Diceros bicornis minor: one gene and its partners. The protein of the gene in region 3 interacts with the protein of the main gene of each other region in a biochemical or structural test. Links are inferred from orthologs where the notes say so. Each region holds a gene or a part of one and is shown on either strand. Other genes may lie near its edges.

Region 1 (7,746 bases), on a different chromosome or scaffold from region 3:
AGACTCGGGGGGCACCCCCACCCTCTATTGTGTGGTTCTCAGTGTGAAAGTGTGGGGCGCCATGCTTAGAAAGAGCAACAGGTCTGTCTCCAACCAACCCTTCCTGAAGGTGAGGCCCAGAGGCCCAGAACCAAGGCCCCCGAGGAGCCATGAAGGATGGAGGTGGATGCCCAGATTAGAAAGAGCTTCAAGCGAAGGTGTGTGTGTGTGGGGGGGTGACATCTGTCTTCAAACATTTGAACAACCATCAAGAGGAAGAGAAACTAGACTTGTTCTATGCAGCACCTGGGGCAAAACTAGGAAGAAAGGGGTGAGTTAAAGAAAGTCAGCCTCTGCCTTGAGACAAGGAGGCCCTCGCTGGAGGATGAGCTTGTCAGCACAAAGGACAGGGCTTGGGGGCGCAGCTCCTGGTCACCAGGAGAGGCCACCAGGGCCCTTGTGCAGGGCAGCAGGGAGAGGGTTGCTGAGTGGATTCACTCCTTGGCTTCAGGTTGGACGACTGTGGTTCTCTTGATTCTGATCTTGAGCCAGGGGTTCTGACTCTCAGTGCTGTTGTCAGTCTAGTCTGGCTTCTCTCAGGAGTAGGTGAGGTATTATTCTGGAAGAGCTTTTCTCTCAACAATATTTCCCACTGCTTGTCACTGTACATAAAATTTCTCCTTTATGGATTAACATTTTTAGGCATTGAGTCCTAACTACAAGAATTCTCTATTAGACTTTAAATGCCCATGAGAGGAGTGGCTTCTCTGGGGGTTCTCTTGGCAAGGTCAGAAGCCTGAGCTGAGCAGGGATCCTGGGGAGGGACCCAGTGCAGGGGGTACTGATCTCTCCTTGGGGGTCTGATATGTCCATGAGGTGTTCTCATTCAGTGATGGTCTTTTACAAACAAAAATCTTCAGCAGTAATAAAGACAAAGCTTCCCTTTTGCAATGATGGTTTACAATCAAAAGACATTGTCCTAGCATACAACCCTAGTGTTGTAAGTCCATGCTTCTCAAACTGGGGGGTCTAGGTGTAATCTATGGAGTCCTGAGAATGGCTCCTGCAATGGACTAAATGTTTGTGTCCCCCAAAAGTCATATGTTGAAATCCTAGCCCCAGTGTGCTGGGATTAGGAGGTGGGGCCACTGGGAGGTGCCTAGGTCATGAGGGTGGAGCCCTCATGACTGGGATTACTGTGCTTAAAAGAGTCCCCAGAGAGCTCTCTCACCCCTTCCACTGTGTGAGGACACGGCGAGAAGACAGCCATCTATGAACCAGGAAGGTTCTATGGCAGGTTCTCACCAGCCACAGAATCTGGCGGCACCTTGATCTTGGACTTCCCAACCTCCAGAGCTGTGAGAGATAAATGTCTATGGTTTGTAAGCCCCCTGTCTATGGTATTTTGTGATAGCAGCCAGAATGGACTAACACAGCCCCCCTTTACCGGAGTTTGAGAAGCTCCAGGCCCTGGAGGAGGGTCGGCAGCTGGAGGTGGGTGGGGGAAGAGCGTGAGTGTAGCGCCAGACAAGGGGGGTTGAATGCCCCTCTGCCTCTTGTCAGCTGTGTAAGCACCGTGGGTAGCTGCAAGATGGGGATGAGAAGACCTGTTTGGTGGGTTCCTGATAACAATGGAATAAGTCCAGGAGTCTAAAGCATGTAACAGGTGCCCAGAGCTCCCACGTGTGCCACGGAGACAGGCCACCAGGGCGCCAGCATGTGGACCTCCGCAGGGCAGAGCCAAGGGCAGCTGGGCCCAGGTCACCTCCAGTGACCATACACAGAGGATCATTTTCTGTGTGTCCCACAGTGAACATGGGAAGCGCAGAGGGCCCCCATAAGGGGCCCTTCTCGTGGCCTGCCCCTGCCTTGCCCTGGCCCAGCTGACCTCTCAGCTCGTGGGGCTTGACCTTCTACCACCAGAGTAAAAAGCCGTCCTGAGCCCGGAAGGTTCCACTCAGCAGAGCACCTGGAGGACGGGCGCCCACATGAGAGACGCAGCCGCGTTCCCTCCTGCGCCCACACAAACCTCACTCAGAACTGTTCGCTAGAGTTTTAAAAACGTAGTGATAGAAGCAAAACTTATTTTATTTTATTTTTTGGATTCAACTACCTAACTTTTTAAGGGAAAGCGTTTATTTATCTTTCTGAAAGTAGTGTCTGTAGCACTCAAATATACGCAAGAAGACGGAGTAAGACGTGCGAGTTCTTCCTCCCCTCACTTCCGATGGCTTCAGCGGGATGCGGCCACCTTGGTCACCAGACTGGCAGAGGGGGTTGGCAGCAAAGTGGCCTGGGCAGCTCTCAGGATGACCCACGAGGCCAGGACAATTAGGACTGGCCTTTCTAACCAACAGTCATGAGGAGGGGGTTGGACCTCGATGCAGAGGGGGAGAAGCTCGTGCCCTGAGGAGGGAAGAGGCCAGCCTCCGAACCCAGCTTCTGCTCTGGACAACGTCCAGTGACCTCACTCCCTAAAAGGCCTGCCTGTCCCGACACTTCCGGGGCCTCATTACCCAAAAGCAAACCAGCACCTCTCACCCACGGAGGGTCCAATCACACTCCCTCTGTCAACTGCCACATTTCTTTACAACGGCCACTTTGTTGGGGGGAAGGGAGCATTCCGGGCTGTAGGGAGGGATGGTCTCTCTTGGGGTCCCAGCAGGGAGGGTGAGGCCAGCACCACAGGGCCCTCAAGTTTGGAGGCCCCGGGGGAGCCTCCTGATCTTGGGAGAACTGCCTATGGAAGGCAGGAGCCCGTCTCAAAGTCCTTCCCCCAATGCCGTCCTCCATCAAGGTGGTCTCCAGAGCTGCCTTCTTTTCTGCCTGTCCACAAAGGCTGCCTTAGGAGACAGTGCTCCTTGGTTCTGGAAACACCCCTCCCTGAGACCTCTTCTCTGGTTTCCACCCACCCGGTTGCTGTGTGGGGTCCTGCCAGCCTTACTTGCAGAGGACAGCATCATTGTCAGACAGGGCCTCGTAGACGCACGGGTCGTTTTCCTCCTCGTCTTCTGTCACCACCATCGTAAGACCCAGAAGCAGGGCTGCCATGGCCAGGCTCATTTTCCAGCCCATGGGCACCTGGAACAGAAGGAACCTTCAGAGCTGACGGGCCCTCTGCTGGGGTACACTTTCCATCCCTCACACCCCACCCCAGGGGCCCACCTGGTGGGACAGAGACCTCCGATAAGCAGAGAGAGAAGGGCGGGCAGCTGCCTGGGCTCCGGCAGCTAATCTGCCACCCGGACACAAGCACCTTGGGAGGACCTGGGCCTACTCCAAGCTGGACTCGATTTGCAGTCCTGGCTGAGGCCCCTCCTCCGTCAGAGCAGGGCTTTGCTGTCACTCTAGTCCTGGTTGCCAGGGCAAAGAGCAGGCTGCAAACAGAGGTGCTTATGTAACCTCTCGGCACTGCTGTGTGCCCTGCACCCCCACGCTCCCTCCCCCTGAGGTCAGCTGGCTGAGGGCCAGCCTGCTCCTTTGGCTTTGAGGCCTGGGAAGCTGATGACCCCAGGCTTTAGGCTGGGGGCAGGTTCTGGGGGTGCTTGTGAGAGCCTGACCTTAGTTGTTTTTCTAGAAGTAGGGGTTTGGCTGGCCATGCCCCTTGGACAACTCTGCTTCTCCCACCCACAGTTCCTCCGCCACCTGCCATGACAGCCTCGGGGCTGTCCGGTGGGTGGTGGGTGTGGTTGGACATAGAGACTCGTGTAGGAGGGACTGCTGCACGTAGGGAGGGCCACCCGGGCCCCCAGGGCCGCTCTGGAGGGCCGGCTGAGGACAGAAGGATGCTGCGGACTGCACCTCGCAGCAGTGCTGAACTCAGCACTCTCCCAAAATACTAGTCTCTGGAGGAGCCGGCTGGCAGAGCTGCCGGGGCAGGGGTAGCTGGGGGCAGGGGTAGCTGGCACCAGCGCTGTGCCGTGCCGGAAGGAGGGGTGGCCTGGGGCTGAGCTGCAGTGAGCCTGCAGCAGGGACTCAGAGCACAAGCATTCCCTGGGGGAACAGGCCTGCAGGAGGGTGTGTGTGGGACTCTGGCTGGAAGCCAAGCGGCAGGGGAAGACCAAAGGCAGGTCTCCCACAGCCTTTCCACTTGATCCGCTCTCTGTGCTCTCTGAAATGGTGTGTGTCGGAGGCTGCTCTGAGCTCCACCAGGCTGCGGGGGGGGGGGGGGGGGGGGGGCGGCACTCTGCCTTGCTAGGATGCACCACTTCTCCCTCCAAAAACAGGTGAAGCGACCCATCGCCCTGTGCCTTGCTCAGGAAGATGAGATCTGAGACCCTTGCTATAGAGGGTCTGTGGCTAGATCTTTAGAGAAACGACAGTCAGCATAGCTTGCTTTCCAGTTGAATTCCTGCTTCCAGGATCCCAACTTCCAGGAAAAAGCCCTTCTTTTGGGCTACCAATTAAATGCATTTCTCAATAATTGGTCTCCGTGAAGTATGACCAGGGTCCCCCACAGAGAACACACTCCCGAGATATCTCCTATGGAAAGTGTCTCCTAGCAGCCTCCTCACAAGACGGTGGTGAGAGGGAAACGGAATGAGTTATGTGAGGCACTTAGTAGGTGCCTGCACAGAAGGAGTGCTCACTAATTCATGGAGAGTGTGAGTATCCTTCCACAGATCCACCTGTTCATGCGTTCATTCATTCAAAATCCATTTTTCCAAAGGGTATGGAGCACCCCCCATGTGTGCCAGCCCTGAGCCAGCCCTGGGGTATAGGGTGAGCATGGTCCCTGTCTTCGTGGAGCTCATGGGACAGCCAGAGCCAGAGGACAATGCTGCCAGAATGGTCATCCAAGGCCAAGAGACTCTTGTCTTCAAAGTGGCAGCCACTAGAGAAGCCAGAACTTTCCTGGGTGCCAACAGCCCTTAGCACCCACAATGAATGGCTGTCTGGAGGTGGGGGAGAGTCCAGGCTTGCTCCTGTTCAGCCCGCTCATGTCAGCAATTCCTCCTTACTCAGTTTGCACCAGGCTTTTATCATTGAATTCGCGTGACGATCCCCTGAAATAGGCACCATTATTATCCCATTTTACAGAGGGGGAGACTGAGGCACAGGGAGGTTAGCTAACCTGGACCTTGGTCACAAGTAAGTGGCAGACCTGAGATTTGAACCCAGGCTGTCCGGCTCCATGCTGTTAACCACTCTGCTCTACTGTCCTCTCTTGTGGCTCTCCTCTGCCCCCACTTGCTTCCCCTCTATTCCCTTTGTTCTTGGAATAAAGCCCGGAATGCCCCACCCACCCCCACATCTGGTTCTTCCTGCCTCTCTAGCCCAGTCTCTCTATTCTCCACCACTCCCGCTGTTAGCTGTTAGCTCCAGCTAGTCCTTCAGGCTCCTTCCTGCCCCAGGGCCCACCACCTTGCTGGATAGCTGAAGTGTCATTTCCTCAGAGAAACTTGCTCTGACCCCCAGGCTCCATCAGATCCCTGTTATACACAGTCAGAGCACTTTACTCCTTTCCTCCCTGTTCCTGCATGTTTGTAATGAATACTTCTGCAGTTATTTACTTAGTGCTTTGTTTATAGTCCCCACTCGGCCTGCCCTCCCCCCAGCCTACAAGCTTCTTGGAGGCAGCACCGAGTCTGCGTCTAGCATTCCAAGTGCAGCCCCTGGTGTGTCTAGATGCTTAATGAATGCTTGTTTGAATGCCCAACAAACTTAGCACTTCTATTTCTGATAGTCCTTATCTTCACTTACCAGCTCCTAACTCTGTAAACATCAGTAGGAAACTAACCACTCAGGCTGGCCCCAGGCCCTGGATCCCTTTTGCTTATTTATCTAACCTTCTCTGGCTTGTTTTGGTACAGAGAGATCCGACAGAATGCAGAGGTGCTTGGAATTTTCGAACCTGCTCTTTCTCTTGGGGATTTGTAGGATTTTGCTTCATACTCGATGTTCAAGATCTGGGACCCACGTTCAAGCCAGGGGGAAAAGCTCCCCATCCCCATCGCCACCCTGTTTTGCTCAGTTGTCTCACTCCTGGAAGCTCCCATCTCTAGATCTCTCAGTGCCCGCCCCTGAAGCCCCCTTCTCTTCCTTCAGTCACCTGGGCTGGGACTACCTCCCAACACCATCAATCAAGCCAAGCCTGTTGGCTTCCTGAGATGCCTCGGCCCCTCCACCCTCTGGGACCTGCTGGACCAGTGCTCCTGGAACTCTTGACCCCCATCCCTCCAGGCCTCCTATGCCTGACACCACCCGGCCCTTCACTGCCCAGGTGTCACCTCCTTCCTCCATCCAGACACAGACTCTCTCGCTTTTCCTCCCTCCTAATCCTTTCCACCTATGCCCTCTGGAATCTCTGAACTGCAGGGAATAAGTCCCCCCTCATTCTCTTTCTTTCATTCTGCATTTAAAAAATTAATTGAGTTATAATTCAATACCGTAAAATTTACCGTTTTAATGTGTACAATTCAGTGTTTTTAGTACAAAAGTCACTCAAGATTGTGTCACCATCATCACTGTCTAATTCCGGAGCATCTTCATCACCCAAAATAGGCTCCAAAGAACTCATTAGCAGTTATTCTTCACTCCTTCCTCCCCCAGGCCCTGGGAACCACTAATCTACTTTCTGTTTCCACGGATTTGCCGATTCTGAACATTTCATATAAATGGAATCGTACTGTCTGTGGCCTTTTGTGCCTGGCTTCTTTCACTTAGCATAATGTTTTCAAAGTTCATCCACATTGTAGCATGTATCAGTACTTCTTTCCTTTTTTTTTGCCAAATGTATTTCACAAAACTTAAGTAGAAAAAAAACATAGCTTGTATATTTATCCACTTATTTGCCATTTATAGTGCCGTGCGATCTTTCTGATAGAGGCAAGTTTCCCACTAATATCAATTTTTTCTGCAGCCTTGTAGTTTTTTTTTTTTTTTTTTTTAGCAAATCTTGTAGTGCAGGCTTCATTCTTCTTGTGGCTGAATAATATTCCATTGTATGGATAAACCACATTTTGTTTACCCATTCATCAGTTGATGAATATTTGGGTTATTTCCACTTTTTGGCCGTTATGAATAAAGCTGTTATATACACTTGTGTACAAGTTTTTGTGTGAACGTGTATTTTCAATTCTCTTCAGTATATGCCCAGGAGTAGAATTGTTGGGTAATTGTATAGTAATCCCATGTGTAACATTTGAGGAAATGCCAGTCTGTTTTCCAAAGCGGCTGTTTCATTTCACATTCCTACCAGCAATGAGGGCTCCAATTTCTCCACATCCTCGCCAGCACTTGTTATTGTCTTTTTTATTATGGCCATCCTAGGGAGATAAAATGGTATCTCATTGTGGTTTTGACTTGCATTTCCCTAATGACTAATGATGTAGAACCTGTTTTCATGAAGTTTTTGGCTATTGTATATCTTCTAACTTTAGAGAAATGTCTATTCAAATCCTTTGACCATTTTAAAATTAGATTGTATTTTTATTGTTCAGTTATAACAGTTCTTTGTGTATTCTCGATATTAGACACTGTTATATTGTGATTTAATTAAGAAATATATATATTTGGTCTTTGTCTTGTTTCTGGCACCGAGCTCCTAAAACCCTTGGAATTTCCTAAATGAAAGAGCAATAAATGTGTCTTGATATTCATAACAAACCCCTTCAACCACACCTAAGTTTATGTGAATGAGGTGACTTTTGGAAAACACTAGGGAGGGGGGCTGGTTGCTAAGGGAACCAACCATGTGATTGGAGGGTTGGAATTTTCAGTCCTCCCCCCACACCTTTAGAGGGAGAGGGGCTGCAGGTTCTATCA
Region 2 (7,995 bases), on a different chromosome or scaffold from region 3:
GAGGAAATACAGCAAGATGATCATTACTTTTGGGTGGCAGGATTACTAAAGGTCTTTACTTAATTGGTTAATTAATTTTGTTTGCTTATATATGAGTTTTTATATAATGAACATATAGTAATAGTAATAGCTTCCCACTTGGAGGTGCCAGGCTATGTTTCAGTTAGTCCTCACAATGATCATTTCAGGGGTGTTGGTAAACCCATTTTAGAGAGGAGGAACTGAGGCTTAGAGAGGCTAAGCCATATGCTGTGTTAGTTTCCTATGGCTGCTGTAAAAAATGACCAAAAACTTAGCGGCTTAACACAACACAAATTTATTACCTTGCAGTTCTGGAGGTCAGAAGTCTGGAGTGGGTTTCACTGGGCTAAAATCAAGGTGTCAGCAGGGCTGCATTCCTCATGGAGGCTCTAGAGGGAATCCGTTTCCCTGCCTTGTCCAGCTTCTAGAGGCTGCCTGCATTCTTTGGCTTACGGCCCCCGTCCTCCATCTTCAAAGCCAGCAATGGCTGGTTAAGTCCTTCTCACATTGCATCACTCTGGTTCTGACAATCCTGCCTTCCTCTTCCCCATTTAAGGATCTTTGTGATTACATTGGGCCCATCCAGGTAATCCAGGATAATCTCCTGATTTTAAGGTCAGCTGATCAGCAAACGTAATTCCATCTGCACCCATCATTCCCCTTTGCCGTGTAATGTAATATATTCACAGACTCTGGGGATTAGGATGTGGACATCTTTGAGAGGCCATTCTTCTGCCTGCCACACCTGCCCAAGATTTCATAGGTCCTGGGTGATGGATTTGGAATGTGAATGCATTCTGACTCCCACACCCGTGCCCTGAGATTATGCTATGTGGCTGATTATTTGTATATTGAAGAAATTTTTAAACTTTTTATAAGTTGAAAAAAATAAAAGGATCCTCCCTTCCGCCTTATTTAGCCTTATTGCTACGTCATCCATTTGCCCCTACCTAAACACCCCATTCCAGCAAACCCAGTCTGCCCACTGGCCAAGCCCAGCACCCCAGCACCCCCTGCTTGTTTCCACTCCAGGTAGTCCTCACACGGTCTCTTAAACTTGGGAGTGTCACTCTTGGTTGTCTGAGAAGCTGATGACGAGATGGGGTTAGATGTGCAAGGACTTTCTTAGGGAAATGGCTGCAAGACAAAATGGGAGGGAATGGGGAGAGGCTGGGAGAGCATCCGGCACGTGCAGGTGAGAGGGAAGCATCTTAGCCTGGGGTGTGGTTCCAAGGAAAGCAGGCAAGCCCGTCCTGACTACAGAGGAGCCCAGGGTCACCCAGCTTTGCCTTAGTGTCCCTGCCGAGCTCAATCACCGGCTGGGGGCAGCCTGCCAGGCATGACCTTAGCCCCAAAGCACAGCCCAGCAGCTGGAGGCCTGGCCAATTTCTCTCCCAGCAGTGAGATCTAAGAGCTGCATTCTCAGGTTGCCATGTGGGGTCTTCATAGTGACTTACAGTATAACACTCTCACTAGAGAAAGCTCTCTGGAGGGCAGAGATCACGCCTGCCCCACCTCTATGCCCAGCACGCCTAGGTAGAGCATGTGGGAGAACTGTGTGTCTGGCCTTTGCAGCCAGGCCTGCTTCCATCCTGCTTTGTCACTTACACCTTTCCAAGCCTCGGTTTATCTATCTATGGAACGGGGATGATAGCAGTACCTCCCCCATTGGGTTGGTATGAGGATGAAATGAAATGCTGGGCGTCAAGGCCTTCAGTCAGGGCCTGGCACGTGGTAGTGGTAACAGTCAGTAAATGGCTGACATCCTCACTGGAGCACTCTGACCTGCACACGGTAGGTGCTCAGTAAATGGTAATTGTTGTCATTGGAGCATACATACAGTAGGTGCTTGGTGAATGGTATGGTCATCATTGGAATGCACTGACCTGCATATAGCATGCACTCGGTAAATGGGAGTGGTCATTATTGGAGCATAATGACCTGCACACAGTAGGCGCCCAGTTAATATGGTTTGGTAGGTTCCAATCTTTGTTTTAGTGGAAGTGCTTCTAGATGCAGATGGTCACTCCCAATCACTCCATGAGCCTCCATTACCTTATCTATAAAGCAAGGAGAATAACACGCAGGACCGTGGGGGGAGCTAGAGCACGTTAAGCACTTTGCACCCAGTAGGCACTCCAGAGAGTAGTTCCCATCTCTTAAACTTCCAGTGAGCATCTGTGCTTCAAGTCCCAGAGAATAGCTTAAAGCAAGTTTTAAAAATCTCTTTCTGAGCATTTTCTATACTCTATGAAGCATAGAAGCATTTTCTATGAAGGTGCAACCATCTCATCGAACCAAACAGTTGTCTTTTGTTAACACACGGCTTGTGGAGTGGCACTAGTCTCTATCTCATGAGCATTTAATGAGAGCTGTTTAATATAAACAGTGAGAGGAAAGGTGCTGATTTCTCCAACTGCTGCTCATGACGGAGGTGCTGTTGATACCAGAATTATGGTTGAATGGCCTTTTCTGAATGTGATATTTTATTAGAAATATTTAGTGATCTGAACCAGAAACCAACCAGATGATTTTTTTAAACTCACTTATTTTCTTATAATAATAATAATAATGATTATATTATGTACCAAGTATGTCAGGCACTATTTTAAGTGCTGGGGATAAGACCAGTGAACAAGAGAGATAACCCTCACGGAGTTTATATTCAAGTGGGTGATGGTGTGGTTCCGATGATAAACGAGTAATCCTAAATGCTCTGAATGTTAGGAAAGAGAAAGGACAGAAGGGGTGTGGATGCAGAGATCAGGGCATTTCCCCTAGTCTTGATGGGTGGGAGAAGGTGGAAGTGATGTTTAAGATTAGTAAAGGTGAGCCAGGACAAGAGTACAGTGAGGCTTGAGGGGGAGGGTAATGAGGGAAAAGTGTTCCAGGAGGAGGGAACAGCATGAGCAAAGGCCCAGGGGTAGAAAGACAAGTTGGAACTGAAACAAATTCAGAGTATTTGGAGCGAAGAATGCAAGGAGGAAGAGGCAAGGAGGTGGGACAAGTCTACAGGGGCCTATTAAGAGTCTGGACTTCATCCTGAGGGAAAGGGGGGCCACAGAGAGCTTTAGGGAAAGGGGGATGAGGTGTGGATTGAACTGATGTACATCTGAGAAAGATGAACGTGGACAGGAGGATGGGCTAGAAGGGAGGAAGACTTGAGGCGGTAGGCCAGGAGAGTGACACCAGGGTTGTTATGATGAGGGGAGGAAGTGGACCCATAGGAAGGGCTCTAAGGAGGTTGAGTTTATAGGCCTGGTGACCACTGGCTTGTTGGGTAGGGAGGGGGCAAGAATAGCCAGGAGCAGAAATATCTGCAATTTCTTTCCATCTTCCCCAAGAGGTTTTGCATTCATCACTTATCTTCTCACAGCGTCCTGGCTGTGCCTGCAGGTGGCTTTTCTGAGGTCACACAGGGAATTAGCTGCAGAACCTATTCAGATGCTCACCCACAATCTGGGCCTGTCTTCTCTCCCTGGCACTTATCACAGTTTATAATTTTATGTTTGTTGAATGGCATTTGATTAATGTCTCTCTCCACTGCTACGCTCCATGAGGGCAGGGACTGTTTCTCCTTTTGCTTTCAAGGTTCTCAAAATGCATTTATATAGAACAAATGATGGAAAGAACCAATAATCCTATCAGTGCTTAGTCACTGAAGTCGTTGCTTCCAGTCTGGACTTAACTAGACACTTAACTAGCTGTGATTCCTTCCTTTCAAGTACACATTGCTTGACCTAGCAAACCCCTAACAAAATTTTCCTAAAACTATTCACCAAGTGTTTAATATATATGTATAAGGATCTTCATTTCAGTGATATTTGTAAAAGGAAAAACAACAAAACAGCATAAATGTCCAACGTTAGGAAGTTCGTTGAGTAATTGTGGTGCATCTAGAGTAGAATAAGCCATTAAAATAATGATCTATTTTTGATATAGATATTCTATAATAGTAGAGTTTAATGAATTTTTTTGTGAAGAAACAGAACAAAATTATCTATACTCATAGTTTTAAAATTTGAAAGGTATACTCCAAATTGTTACTGATGTTTATACACAAGTACCGGAATAGAAACGATTTTTATTTCCTTCTTTGGGTTTCTTCTCTGAATTTGCTCCAAGGCACTTATATTATTTCCTAATAAGAAATAAACGCAACTTTCTATTCCCTGGGAGGAGATATCAGTGTCCTGAAGTCAAATCAGATAAGGACTATTAAATACTGCCCATTATATTTAGCAAAAAGAAGGCATCGGGTGGCCACAGTGAGAGCAGTTTTGGTAGAGGCAGAGCCACTTGGTCAGCAAAATAGAAATAATTATGTTCTAAAAAAATAAGTTCTCAAAAAAAAAATTCTCAGGAATCTTGTTTGGACCAAGTGGGGGGCAGCGGGATCAAATATATGTGCAAATATATTTGTCCGTTGAGAAAAATGCTCAAAAGTTGCGCTCAGGCCCTCTTACCAGGCCAGTTACCAAAACTAGTGAGCATGCGCGAAAGTACAGGGAGGCGAGGACAATCGGGCTTGTTTTAAGCAGCGCAAGAGAAAAGCAAGGCCTTACCATTTCTGAATTGAGAAAGTGGAGAAAGGAATCATGTAAAAAGGTTAAAAAAAAAATCAAAGGGAGCTCAACCGCATTTCTTGCAACGACAGTCTCGCACGCGGAGCCACAGCTCGGGGTTACTCGGCGGCGAGAAGCTTCACGCTTCCCACGGTGCAAGCAGAAAAGCAAAGCCCGCTGCACTGAACCTGAAGTGCCAGCTCGACCAATCAGAGGGCAGAATTTGCCTGCGTCGCCGGTGATTGGAGGAGAGGGGCGGGGCGGGGCGGCGGCTCGGGCGCGTGCGCGCCCCTGGCGGCTGCGCTCGCGCCACCTCTGGGCAGTTTCTGCGCGCTCGGAGTGCGAGCTGCGTGCGAGCTGCCGGTCTCCATCTGCTCTCCCGGCTGCCCGCCCCGCTCGCCCCCGCCATGCCGGTGGACCTCAGCAAGTGGTCCGGGCCCTTGAGCCTGCAGGAAGTGGACGAGAAGCCGCAGCACCCGCTGCAGGTCAAATACGCCGGGGCAGAGATCGACGAGCTGGGCAAAGTGCTGACGCCCACCCAGGTACCCGAGGCCGGCGGGGCGGGGACCCGGCGGAGGGGGGAGGGGCGCCCCGGCCTCCGTGCGCCCGATCCGCCGACGGAAGGGCGTCGCGGGGCCCGCGCCGCAGGCCTGAGGTCCCGCCGAGCCCCGGGAACCTGCACGTGGTGGGCGGGGCTCGGCCTGCGGCGGAGGTTGAGCCGCTTTCGGGGACTCGCAGGCGCGGGCAGGGCCTAGGCCCGGAAACGGCCGGGCCCGCGGGGCGGGGAGGGGGCCGTGCCCGGGAAGAAGGGAGCCGTGGCCGCCCCACGCCCCCGGCGCCTGCGCTCGGTGTCAGCGTTTCAGGCCTCAGTTTGCGGCGCAGAAGCGCCACCCGAGGGCATGTGACGCGTTATGTAATGGGTGAACAGCGGTGCTCAGCGGTTCCTCCCTTGGTACGGCGGTCGAGAGAGTCAAGAGATTAAGTGCGTTCTGCGTCCGGAAGGTTCGAGGGCAGCGCTTTGGCCTCTGACGCCCATGGCTGAGGCCAGGGCAGCAGACCAGGGCCTGGTTGCTCAAAGAGGAGACGCGAGAGAGCCTGACACCGTCGTGGAGCTCCGGGGCGGCGGTGTGAATAAACTGCCCTCATGGTTTATTGCTTTGCCTGTTGACAGAGTTCATTGTTTTGGATGTTTAAATATACAGTAGCCCCCCCCTTACCTGGAGGGAATAGTACGTTCCATGATTCCCGATGGGTGCTTGGAATGCATGGCACGGAACCCTGTGTGTATGTTTTTCCCCTAACTAAGGGGCAGGTATCGTATACGGTGTGGATGCGCTGGACAAAGGAATGATTCATGTCCCCAGCAGGGGGAGCGGGCTGGCACAAGATTTCATCACGCGGCTCCGAAGGGCGCACTTATGAATTATTTATTTCTGGAATTTTCCATTTAGTATTTTCAGAACGCGGTTAACTAGGGGTGGCTAAAACCGAGGAAAGCAAAACCGCGGATGAGGGGGGACTACTGCGAAGTGCCCGTCTCTCAGCCTTCCTTTTCCCAGACTCACTGTCCATGCCTGGCCACCTGGGCTCTCGCATCTCCTGTGCACTTTTAAAAGCCCCATTAATTCAGATTCCACTTGAACAGGCCCCGGGTACCCTCCTGGTCACCAAATCTGGAGACCCTCCCATTCCAGACAGTGTAAAGTTGTAGTTGAGAGGGCTCGCCACCGGCTTCGGGATCCTGACCCCACCTCTTTCTGTTAATAACATGCCAGGATACCAGCCTTACAGTGCTGTTGGGACTAAAATAAATAACGTATGTCAGACTTTAGCTCCTGGCTCTTAGGAGAGTCAATACACTTTAGCTTTTATTAATAATTACCCTGGGGGCCGGCCTGGTGGCGCAAGCGCTTAAGTGCCTGCGCTCTGCTGCGGCAGCCCGGGGTTCACAGGCCTGGATCCTGGGTACGCACGGAAGCACGGCTTGTCAAGCCGTGCTGTGGCGGGGTCCCACATGGCGTAGAGGAAGATGGGCACGGATGTTAGCCCAGGGCAAATCTTCTCAGCAAAAAAAAAAAAGTGGAGGGTTGGGATCTGATGTTAGCTATGGCTGATCTTCGTCACCAAAAAAAAAAAAAACAAATTACTCTGTTTTACCTTTGAGGAACCTGAGGTCAAAGAAAGAGTTGGCTTCTTCAGCATTTCTGACTTTTTAACTCCAAACTGGTTCCTTCCTGCAGGTTAAGAACCGGCCCACCAGCATTGCCTGGGATGGCCTTGATCCAGGTAAACTCTACACCTTGGTCATGACAGACCCGGATGCTCCCAGCCGGAAGGACCCCAAATACAGGCGAGTTGGGGAAAGTTGGGGAACAGCGGGTCATTCACATATGACCTGGAACTTCTCGCACTGTGTCACTCACTGGATGTTCTGTGCTAGAAGTAGACCCAGTTTGGGATGTTCACATCTGTGCTTAAGCCAGAGTGTGCATTTCCCTCCCCTTCACTTCCTAGAGCAGAGTCTAGAAACTGCAGCCGAGAGCCAGATCTGCCCGAGGCCTGTTTTTGTACAGCCTCGTGAACTGAGAATGGTTTTTACATTTTTTAACGATTGGGAAAAAACTGAAAGGAGAATAATACTTTGTGACCTGTGAAAATTACATGAAATTCAAATTTCGGTGTCCATAAATAAAGTTTTATTGAAACACAGTCATGATAACTTATTTATGTCTTATCTATGGCTGCTTTCACACTACAGCCACAGAGCTGAGTAGTTGTGAAAGAGACAGTCTGAACTGCACAGCCTAAAACATTTATTGTCTGGTCCTTTCCAGAAAAAGTTTGCAGGCCCCTGCCCTAGAGAGTCTCAGAGGGAGGGAGGGAGGTGTTGGGTCTTCTCTTCTGCAGACACATGACGTTTGCGCTGCCCAAGAAAGCAGAACTGTCTTATTCATCGCTGCATCCTGGCACAGAGCACGTGCTGCATACACATTTGCTGATTGCAGTGAGTGCATACTGATTTCCCATGGTATTGACCATCCTGTGTTCCTCCTCGCAGGGAATGGCACCATTTTCTGGTGGTCAACATGAAGGGCAATGACATCAGCAGTGGCACGGTCCTTTCTGATTATGTGGGCTCTGGGCCTCCCAAGGGCACAGGTTAGTAAAGGCTGCTTTTGGAGGAGGTGGGAGGGGAGCCTGGGTGCACATCAGGATTGGCCTAAAGCGCTGCAAATTTTATTCTGGCTCTTAGAGCTTTATTCTTTTGTTTATGAGAGCCCTTACCCTAGTGCGGAGTTCAGGCAGCACAGTTCACCTCCAAGGCAGTTGCCTGTCAGAGACATTGAGACCTGCGGTAGTGTCAGATGGCTAGAAGCTTGGGTTCTGGTCAGAGTGGCCCCTCCGTCAG
Region 3 (7,750 bases):
GTGCCGAAGCGGGGGATGCACGAAAATTCAGAGAAAGGGCAGAACACTGCAGGTCGCAGCTGCCAGAGGAGGCTCCATGCAGGTGTGGCCCTTGAGCTGGGACTGAAAGTAGGGAAGAGCATTTCCAGCAGAGAGAATAGCATGAGCTGCTTTGCCAGGTAGGCCTGAGAGGAGAACAGGCGTGGTTCCTGGGACAGGAGGAGTCAGGCCAGTGAAACAGGAGAGAACCGCAGAGGCAGGACTTCCACTGGACGGGGATGCCCTTGACCAAATGTCATAAAGGACACTGAGGCCAAGCTTGGGAAGCCCTCCTGGAGGGACGTTTTGGTGAGAAGGAGAAGCATTCTGGCGGTGGCTGCAGAAGGCAGACTGCTGGGGCTTAGTGGAGGGATGGGTGAGAAAATCGAGCCTGGGTCTAGACCATTTTGGGATAAATTTGGCCCCAAAAGAGAACAAAAAATTAGGGGGGTAACTGGAAGAGGGAAAGGGACATTTGAATGTGCTGGTGATTTTCTTCTTCAAGACCTGGCTGACTTGCCCTTTTAGGGCAGAAAGCAGTAAGTCTGGGAGAGGTGCTGGAGAGGGAGAGGGTGAGGAGCAGCTCCCTGAGCACCTATTGCATGCCAGGGCCTGTACTTTCCCGTTTCATTTCCTCCCAACAACCCCTGAAGGCAAATATTCCTGCTCCTACATCACCTGAGGGAGAGGCCAAGAATCACAGCGGTGAGGGCAGGGCGGGGGTTTGATCTCCTATTTGTCTGACTTCAGAGCCCATGCCTACTCCTCTGTGCAGAGAGAGGAGGGGTTGGGTCTATCAAGGAGAAAATGTCTGTTCCAACTGCCTAGAATGCTCTTCTCCTGGCTCTTTCTCATCCTTCAGTGCCCAGCTTAACTATCACCTCCTCAGAGAGGCCTTGGCTACTGAGTCTAAAGGCGCACCCCTTCCCTTCCCAGTCTATCATTCTCTAGTCCTTTTCTGCACTGATTTACCACAATCCTAATTTTCATGTTGATGTATTGGTTTACTTGTTTGCTGTTTGTCTCCCCTGCTAGACCTTAAAGTCCTTGAGGGCAGACACTTGGGCTTGGTCACGGCTACGGGCCCAGGGCTAACACAGGGCCTGGCACATATTCAGCACAACAGAAATCTTCATCAACTGAATAAGGAATGAACAAACAAACAGGTCCAGATCCCTGCTCCACCACTTCCCAGCTTTGTCCTTAGATTAATTACCCTCTCTTAAAGGTTCCCCATTTGAAGATCAGGACTTTCAAGTCGTGATGATTGTGTATTGGAGATTGTGTAAAATGCCTGATTACATGAAGAGCCTTCATAAATGACAGGTATTTTTTGTGCAGTTCTTCTTTCCTTCATCTGAAACACGTACCTTTTTTGGCCTGGCTTAAAGACCTATGGTCCATGTTTCAAAATAATTTTTTGAGATATAACAAATGTGCAGAAAAGTACACACACCAATTTTTACATATATATGTGTGTGCGTATATATATAGCCATACACATACCCATGTAACCACTTCCCAAATTAAGAAGTAGCACATTCTAACACCCAGGAAAGTTTCCACGTTAGCCTCCCCCATCCCCTCCCTCTACCAATGACACCTCCCATTCTTCCCCTCCTCTGTTTGATCTGAGATCATGGCATGTCCATTGTCCCTTCAAGCCATTTCTGATCATTTCTTTTCCCTGTTCCTCTTCTGAGACCTTCCCTAATAACTCTAGCTCTTACGAGTAGGAGAGCCTACCACCAAACCAGAGGTCTCCAAAGTACAGGACATGCAACCCAGTGGAGTACAAGATGATTCCTGCAATTCCACTCCTGGGTATATGCCTGAAATAACTGAAAATAGGTACTCAAACTAGTACATGTACCTGCATGCTCATAGCAGCACTACGGATAATAGCCAAAAGATGGAAGCAGCCCAAATGTCCATCCACAAGTGAATAAACAAATTGTGGTATATACTTATATATTCAGCCATAACAAGGAATGAAGTACTAATACATGCAATCACATGGATGAACCTTGAAAACATTTGTTAAGTGAAAGAAGCCAGACACAAAAGGTCACATATCGCGTGATTCCATTTATACGAAATATCCAGAAGAGATAAATCCATAGTGATAGAACACATATTGGTGGTTGCCAGGGGCTGGGTGGGGATTGGATGCAGAGAAACTGCTTAATGGGTAACGGATTTTACTTTGGAGTGATGGAAATGTTTTGGAACCAGAGGTGGTGGTTCCACAACATTGTGAACATGCTAAATGCTACTGAATTGATCACTTTAAAATGGTTAATTTCATGTTATGTGAATTTTGCCTCAATTTCATGTTATGTGAATTTTGCCTCAATAAATTATTTTGAAAAAATGAATTAGTCACTCGTACTGGTGAGCTGAGGTTTGAATAAGGCACAGACTCCTTAAGCTTTCTTTTTTTTTATGCAACATTTTTTTTTTTTTGTGAGGAAGATCAGCCCTGAGCTAACATCTATGCCAATCTTCCTCTTTTTTTGCTGAGGAAGATCAGCCTGAGCTAACATCCACTGCCAATCCTCCTTCTTTTTTCCCTTTTTCTCCCCAAAGCCCCAGTAGATAGTTGTATGTCATAGTTGCACATCCTTCTAGTTGCTGTATGGGGGACTCCGCCTCAGCGGGACAAGCAGTGCGTCGGTGCGCACCCGGGATCTGAACCCGGGCCGCCAGTAGCAGAGCGCATGCACTTAACCGCTAAGCCACAGGGCAGCCCCTCCTTAAGCTTTCTAAGCTGTGAAGTGCTGGGCAAATACCAGCTGGGGGCGACTGAAGGAAGGAGTGGCCTGGGGGTCAGCAAGTGTGGCTTTGCTGCTCTGCCCTAAGTAGTAATGATATGATAAGAGACAGCTATAATAATTACAGCTAACACTTCTATAATGTTTAATATGAGAGGCACTGTTCCAAGTGCTTTACATCTTAAACTCACCAAATCCTTACAACTCTAAGAGGTGGGTAACTATCCGGTTTTCATTACAGATGAGGAACTGAGTGTTAAATGACTTGTCTAAGTGGCAGAGGAGGAAGTGACCGAGTCCGAATTTGAACCTACGCAGTCAGGCTCCAGGTACTCAAGTCTCAATTCCCAGGCTCTGTGCTAAGTGCTTTCCATGTTTTCTCTCATTTAATCCTGTGAGGTAGGTGTTATTGTTATTATTCCTATTAAAAAGAAAATCCCCTCATGGTCCCTCCATATTCAATGTCTTCCAGTCTTTCCCCTGAATTTATCTTCATGTTGGTCTACATGCCCCTGTCATCTTATCTTGCTTCATCTTCATTTTTCTTTATACTGCTCATATTACTACCTGAATTTATTATTTATGCTGTCTTTCGGTCTCTCATCACTAGAAGGCAGGGCTTTTGATGATTATTGATTTCCCAATACACAGAACAATGTGTGGTACATAATAGGCTCTCGAAAATTTAAACGAAAGAATGGTGCCCACGGTATTGGGTAATCTTGCATGCCTGTGTTCAAGTAAATAAAATCATACTGTACATGTTCTACTTTTTTGTTTTTTGTTTTTTTTTGTGAGGAGATCAGCCCTGTGCTAACATCTGCCAATCCTCCTCTTTTTTTGCTGAGGAAGACTGGCCCTGGGCTAACATCCGTGCCCATCTTCCTCCACTTTATATGGGACGCCGCCACAGCATGGCCTGACAAGCGGTACGTCAGTGTGCGCCCGGGATCCGAACCGGCGAACCCCGGGCCGTCGCAGCAGAGCCCGTACACTTAACCGCTTGCGCCACCGGGCCGGCCCCAACATGTTCTACTTTTTAAAAAAATTTAATGTCTTGGATGTTTAAACATCAGTACAAAGATCTAGCTCATTCTTTTTAACAGATGATATCCTCTATTGTGGAGGTAGCACCGTTTATTTACCCAGTTTCCTACTTAATCCGCATTTTTCGCAGTGTATCTCTAATGCAAATAATATGGCAATAAACACCTCAGCACGTCTTATTGTGGGTATGTGTACACATTTACCTAGAATTAGTGCCTACAAGTGGAATTGCTGGACGGAAGGGTATATACATTAAAAATGTCAACAGATAACGCCAAATTGCCCTCCCGATATCCATTCCTGCCAGCGCTGAATGACCGTACACAACAGGTTTTCATATACCTAGCACCAGACTTGATATTACCAGTCTTTTTAACTTTTTGCCAATCTGATGGGGGAAAAGGAACCCCCAATTTACAGATGAGGAAACTGAGGCTCAGTAAAGTTTAGACACTTTCCTACATAACCGGTAAGTAGCGGAGCGTGTCCGACTCCGGAGAGGACGCGCCAAAGCTGGACACTGTTCTCTATGCTGTGCCTCCTCGCGTATGTCTGGTTATCCCTAGGCCTTGATGCGGGCAGGCTGGCCTTCGTTCCCCCTTGAGGCCTCAAGCCCCTTCCGGGTGGCTAAAAGCCAACCTTCTCTCGATTCCCCACCGCCTGTCCGGGAGCCAGTCAGCACCCGCCCTGCAGCCTCCACAACTCCAAAATGGCGGCCGGCAACCTCGCGAGGCCACGCCTTTCCACGCGAGGCGGGGCTTGAGTTCAGGCCAGAGCGATGGATGCCCGAGCCAAGTTTGAAGTCGGTTGCCAGGCGGGCTCGCGCAGAAGCAAAGAGCCAGTGGCGCCGCAGGTCGGGAGGAGGAGCACCGAGTGGAGGGCTCGTTTGCCTGGGCCGCTGGAGAGTCTCTTCTTCGCGGGCGCTGGGCCGCCATCTTAGATGGCGGGAGTAAGAGGAGAGCGAGAGTGAGACGGGGAGGCTCCCCTGCCGCTCTTCTTGGGCCCCGAAGAGGGCCAGCTGGCTGGGCTTGGGGCGTGTGCCCTGAGGTGCGGAGCCCGAGTGCAACGATGCGAGGGCTGCCTGGGGCCCCGTCCCCTGGGCTGGGGACGCGCCGAATGTGACCGCCTCCCGCTCCCTCACCCGCCGCGGGGAGGAGGAGCGGACCAGACGCCGCAGCCGGACGACGGGACACGGAGGCGGCCCGGCTCCCTCAGGTAGGCGCCAGGGCCGGGCTCTGGATGCCGGGGGAGCCGGGCGGCGGGGCTGAGGGGTTGGTTCCCGGGCGGCGCTGACGGAGCAGCCCCGCGGCTGCCGGGCGCCGGGCCCGGGCCAGGCCGCTGTCACCCCAGGTGGCGCTGGGCGGACGGGGGCTCGGGGCCCGGTGTCATGGCCGGCGAGCGGAGTTCCCACATCCCCACTCAGATTTCCTTGTGCTTCGGGGAAACGTGCCAGCGCCACCCCTGTACCCGGTGCACGTTCCTCATATTTGACAATGCGAAAATCCCCCTGGAGCTGCCCCGTTTCTGTGTTGTCACTCAGATGGGCTAATTCCTTTTCTTTCTGGCCGCGGAGTGGGGAACCCGGGCTTGCATCTTCTCTCGGTGTCCGTCACTCAAGTGACACCCTTTTAGGAAAGACGAGAGGAGTCGGGCACGAGAAGAGGAAATGGGTACAGTGCCCCACCACAAAGGCATAGGGGCCTCGCCTGGGGTTTCAGGCCTCTGTGGGTTACTAATGAAAGGTTTGGGATGCTTTTACTGACGAGTGGCCCCGGGATGCTTTGGAATGACGATCCAGGGCTGTCTTTTGTGTGAAGTGAGAGCCACCAGGACGCTTCAGTTCTGCAGCTGCAGACGCTCTGCAGAGCCGGTCGATGCCCCGAGAAGAGTTTGGACATCGTGAGAGGCGAAGCTGTTGTGTTCATTCATTGTTCTCTTTCCAGGGCTCTGCGTGTGCCCTCTGGTATTCATTCTTTGGTGGGAAGAATGATAGGATCTCCCGTGTTTCCTTGGGATGTGACTGGGTTCTCGAGGATTACTTAATCTAGGTAGGGAATGAATTCAGCGCACGTTCATTGAGTATTTCTGCCTGCCTTGTCCTCTGTGGGCTGAGTGGAGGGAGTCTGCTCTCCATTCTCTTCCGAGGCGTGAAAACAATGCTCTGTGATAAGGATAAGGTTGTGGGAACTTGGAACTGGCTTTGCCTGGGGGAGTTGAGGAAGCTTGTCCACTGGAGGGGACTTTTGTGCTGAGTTTTGGAGTGATGAGTAATTACTCTCCAGGTGAGGAGGAGGGGAGAGCATTCTAAGCTGAGGGAACAGCTGGTACAAAGGCATAGAGATGTGCAGGAGTTGGGATGAGTTTGAGGAGCAGCAAATAATCCGGGGTGCAGGGAGGAAGTGGTGAGAGATGAGGGTCTAAAGGAAAAGTTGACTAGATCGTGAAGAATCTTTGTCGACGATAGTGAACTAGTTGATTTAATTTGGATTATTTTAAATGAATGTTGCTAATTCTTTTTTCATGCTGATAATTAATTTCCCCCTTCTCTTGATGATGTTGAAGCTGATAGTAATTGAAAAGATTTACTTTGTTAAACCCAGTTAAGAACATTTTTTTTATTGATGTTTTAATAGTTTTTAACATTGTGAAATTTTGGGCTGTACATTTTTGTTTGTCCATCACCGTATATATGTCGCCCTTCACCCCTTGTGCCCACCTCCTACCCCCATTGCCCCTGGTAACCACAATACAGTTTTTCTGTCCGTGTGTTGGTTTAAATTCCACATATGAGTGAGATCATACAGTGTTTGTCTTTCTCTTTCTGGCCTTTTTCACTTAATGTAATACCCTCCAGGTCCATCCATGTTGTTGCAAATGGGACGATTTTGTCTTTTTTTATGGCTGAGTAGTATTCCATTGTATATATATACCACATCTTCTTTATCCATTCATCAGTTGAGGGACACTTGGGTTGCTTCCACTTCTTGGCTATAGTGAATAATGCTGCAAGGAACATAGGGGTGCATAAGCCTCTTTGGATTGTTGATTTCGGGTTCGTTGGATAGATTCCCAGTAGTGGGATAGCTGGATCATAGGGTATTTCTATTTTTAATTTTTTGAGAAATCTCCATACCGTTTTCCATAGAGGCTGCACCAGTTTGCATTCCCACCAGCTGTGTATGAGGGTTCCTGTTTCTCCACAGCCTCTCCAACATCTGTTGTTTTTTGTCTTGGTGATTATAGCCATTCTGACGGGCGTGAGGTGATATCTTAGTGTGGTTTTGATTTGCATTTCCCTGATGATTAGTGATGTTGACCATCTTTTCATGTGCCTATTGGCCATCTGTATATCTTCTTTGGAGAAGTGTCTGTTCATTTCCTCTGCCCATTTATTTATTTATTTTTGTGAGGAAGATCAGCCCTGAGCTAACATCCATGCTAATCCTCCTCTTTTTGCTGAGGAAGACCAGCCCTGAGCTAACATCTATTGCCAATCCTCCTCCCTTTTTTTTTTTTTTCCATTTTTCTCCCCAAAGCCCCAGTAGACAGTTGTATGTCATAGTAGCACATCCTTTTAGTTGCTGTATGTGGGACACGGCCTCAGCATGGCCGGACAAGCGATGCGTCGGTGCGCGCCTGGGATGCGAACCCTGGCCGCCAGTAGCGGAGCGTGAGCACTTAACCGCTAAGCCATGGGGCCGGCCCCCTCTGCCCATTTTTTGATTGGATTGTTTGTTTTTTTGTTGTTCAGTTGTGTGAGTTCTTTATCTATTATGGAGATTAACCCCTTGTCAGATATATGTTTTGCAAATATTTTCTCCCAGCTGGTGGGTTGTCTATTCATCTTGATTCTGGTTTTATTTGTCTTGTAGAAGCTCTTTAATCTGATAAAGTCCCACTTGCTTATTTTT

What was found.
Region 1: the proteins of RAF1 (region 3) and PEBP4 form a complex in vitro, tested with the Homo sapiens proteins (2 studies listed by BioGRID). The link is inferred for Diceros bicornis minor from reciprocal best matches to the Homo sapiens genes RAF1 and PEBP4.
Region 2: the proteins of RAF1 (region 3) and PEBP1 form a complex in vitro, tested with the Homo sapiens proteins (3 studies listed by BioGRID and IntAct, with this or other methods). The link is inferred for Diceros bicornis minor from reciprocal best matches to the Homo sapiens genes RAF1 and PEBP1.

Annotation. Positions count from the first base shown.
Region 1 is NC_080750.1:70,978,336-70,986,081, reverse strand, and holds the start of PEBP4 (phosphatidylethanolamine-binding protein 4), read right to left. Parts: upstream 3,055-7,746; coding exon 2,924-3,054; intron 1-2,923. UniProt on the Homo sapiens protein: Promotes AKT phosphorylation, suggesting a possible role in the PI3K-AKT signaling pathway.
Region 2 is NC_080774.1:15,124,098-15,132,092, forward strand, and holds the start of PEBP1 (phosphatidylethanolamine-binding protein 1), read left to right. Parts: upstream 1-4,941; 5' UTR 4,942-4,993; coding exon 4,994-5,128; intron 5,129-6,826; coding exon 6,827-6,936; intron 6,937-7,644; coding exon 7,645-7,745; intron 7,746-7,995.
Region 3 is NC_080741.1:85,205,945-85,213,694, reverse strand, and holds the start of RAF1 (RAF proto-oncogene serine/threonine-protein kinase), read left to right. Parts: upstream 1-4,721; 5' UTR 4,722-5,054; intron 5,055-5,782; 5' UTR 5,783-5,887; intron 5,888-7,750. UniProt on the Homo sapiens protein: Serine/threonine-protein kinase that acts as a regulatory link between the membrane-associated Ras GTPases and the MAPK/ERK cascade, and this critical regulatory link functions as a switch determining cell fate decisions including proliferation, differentiation, apoptosis, survival and oncogenic transformation.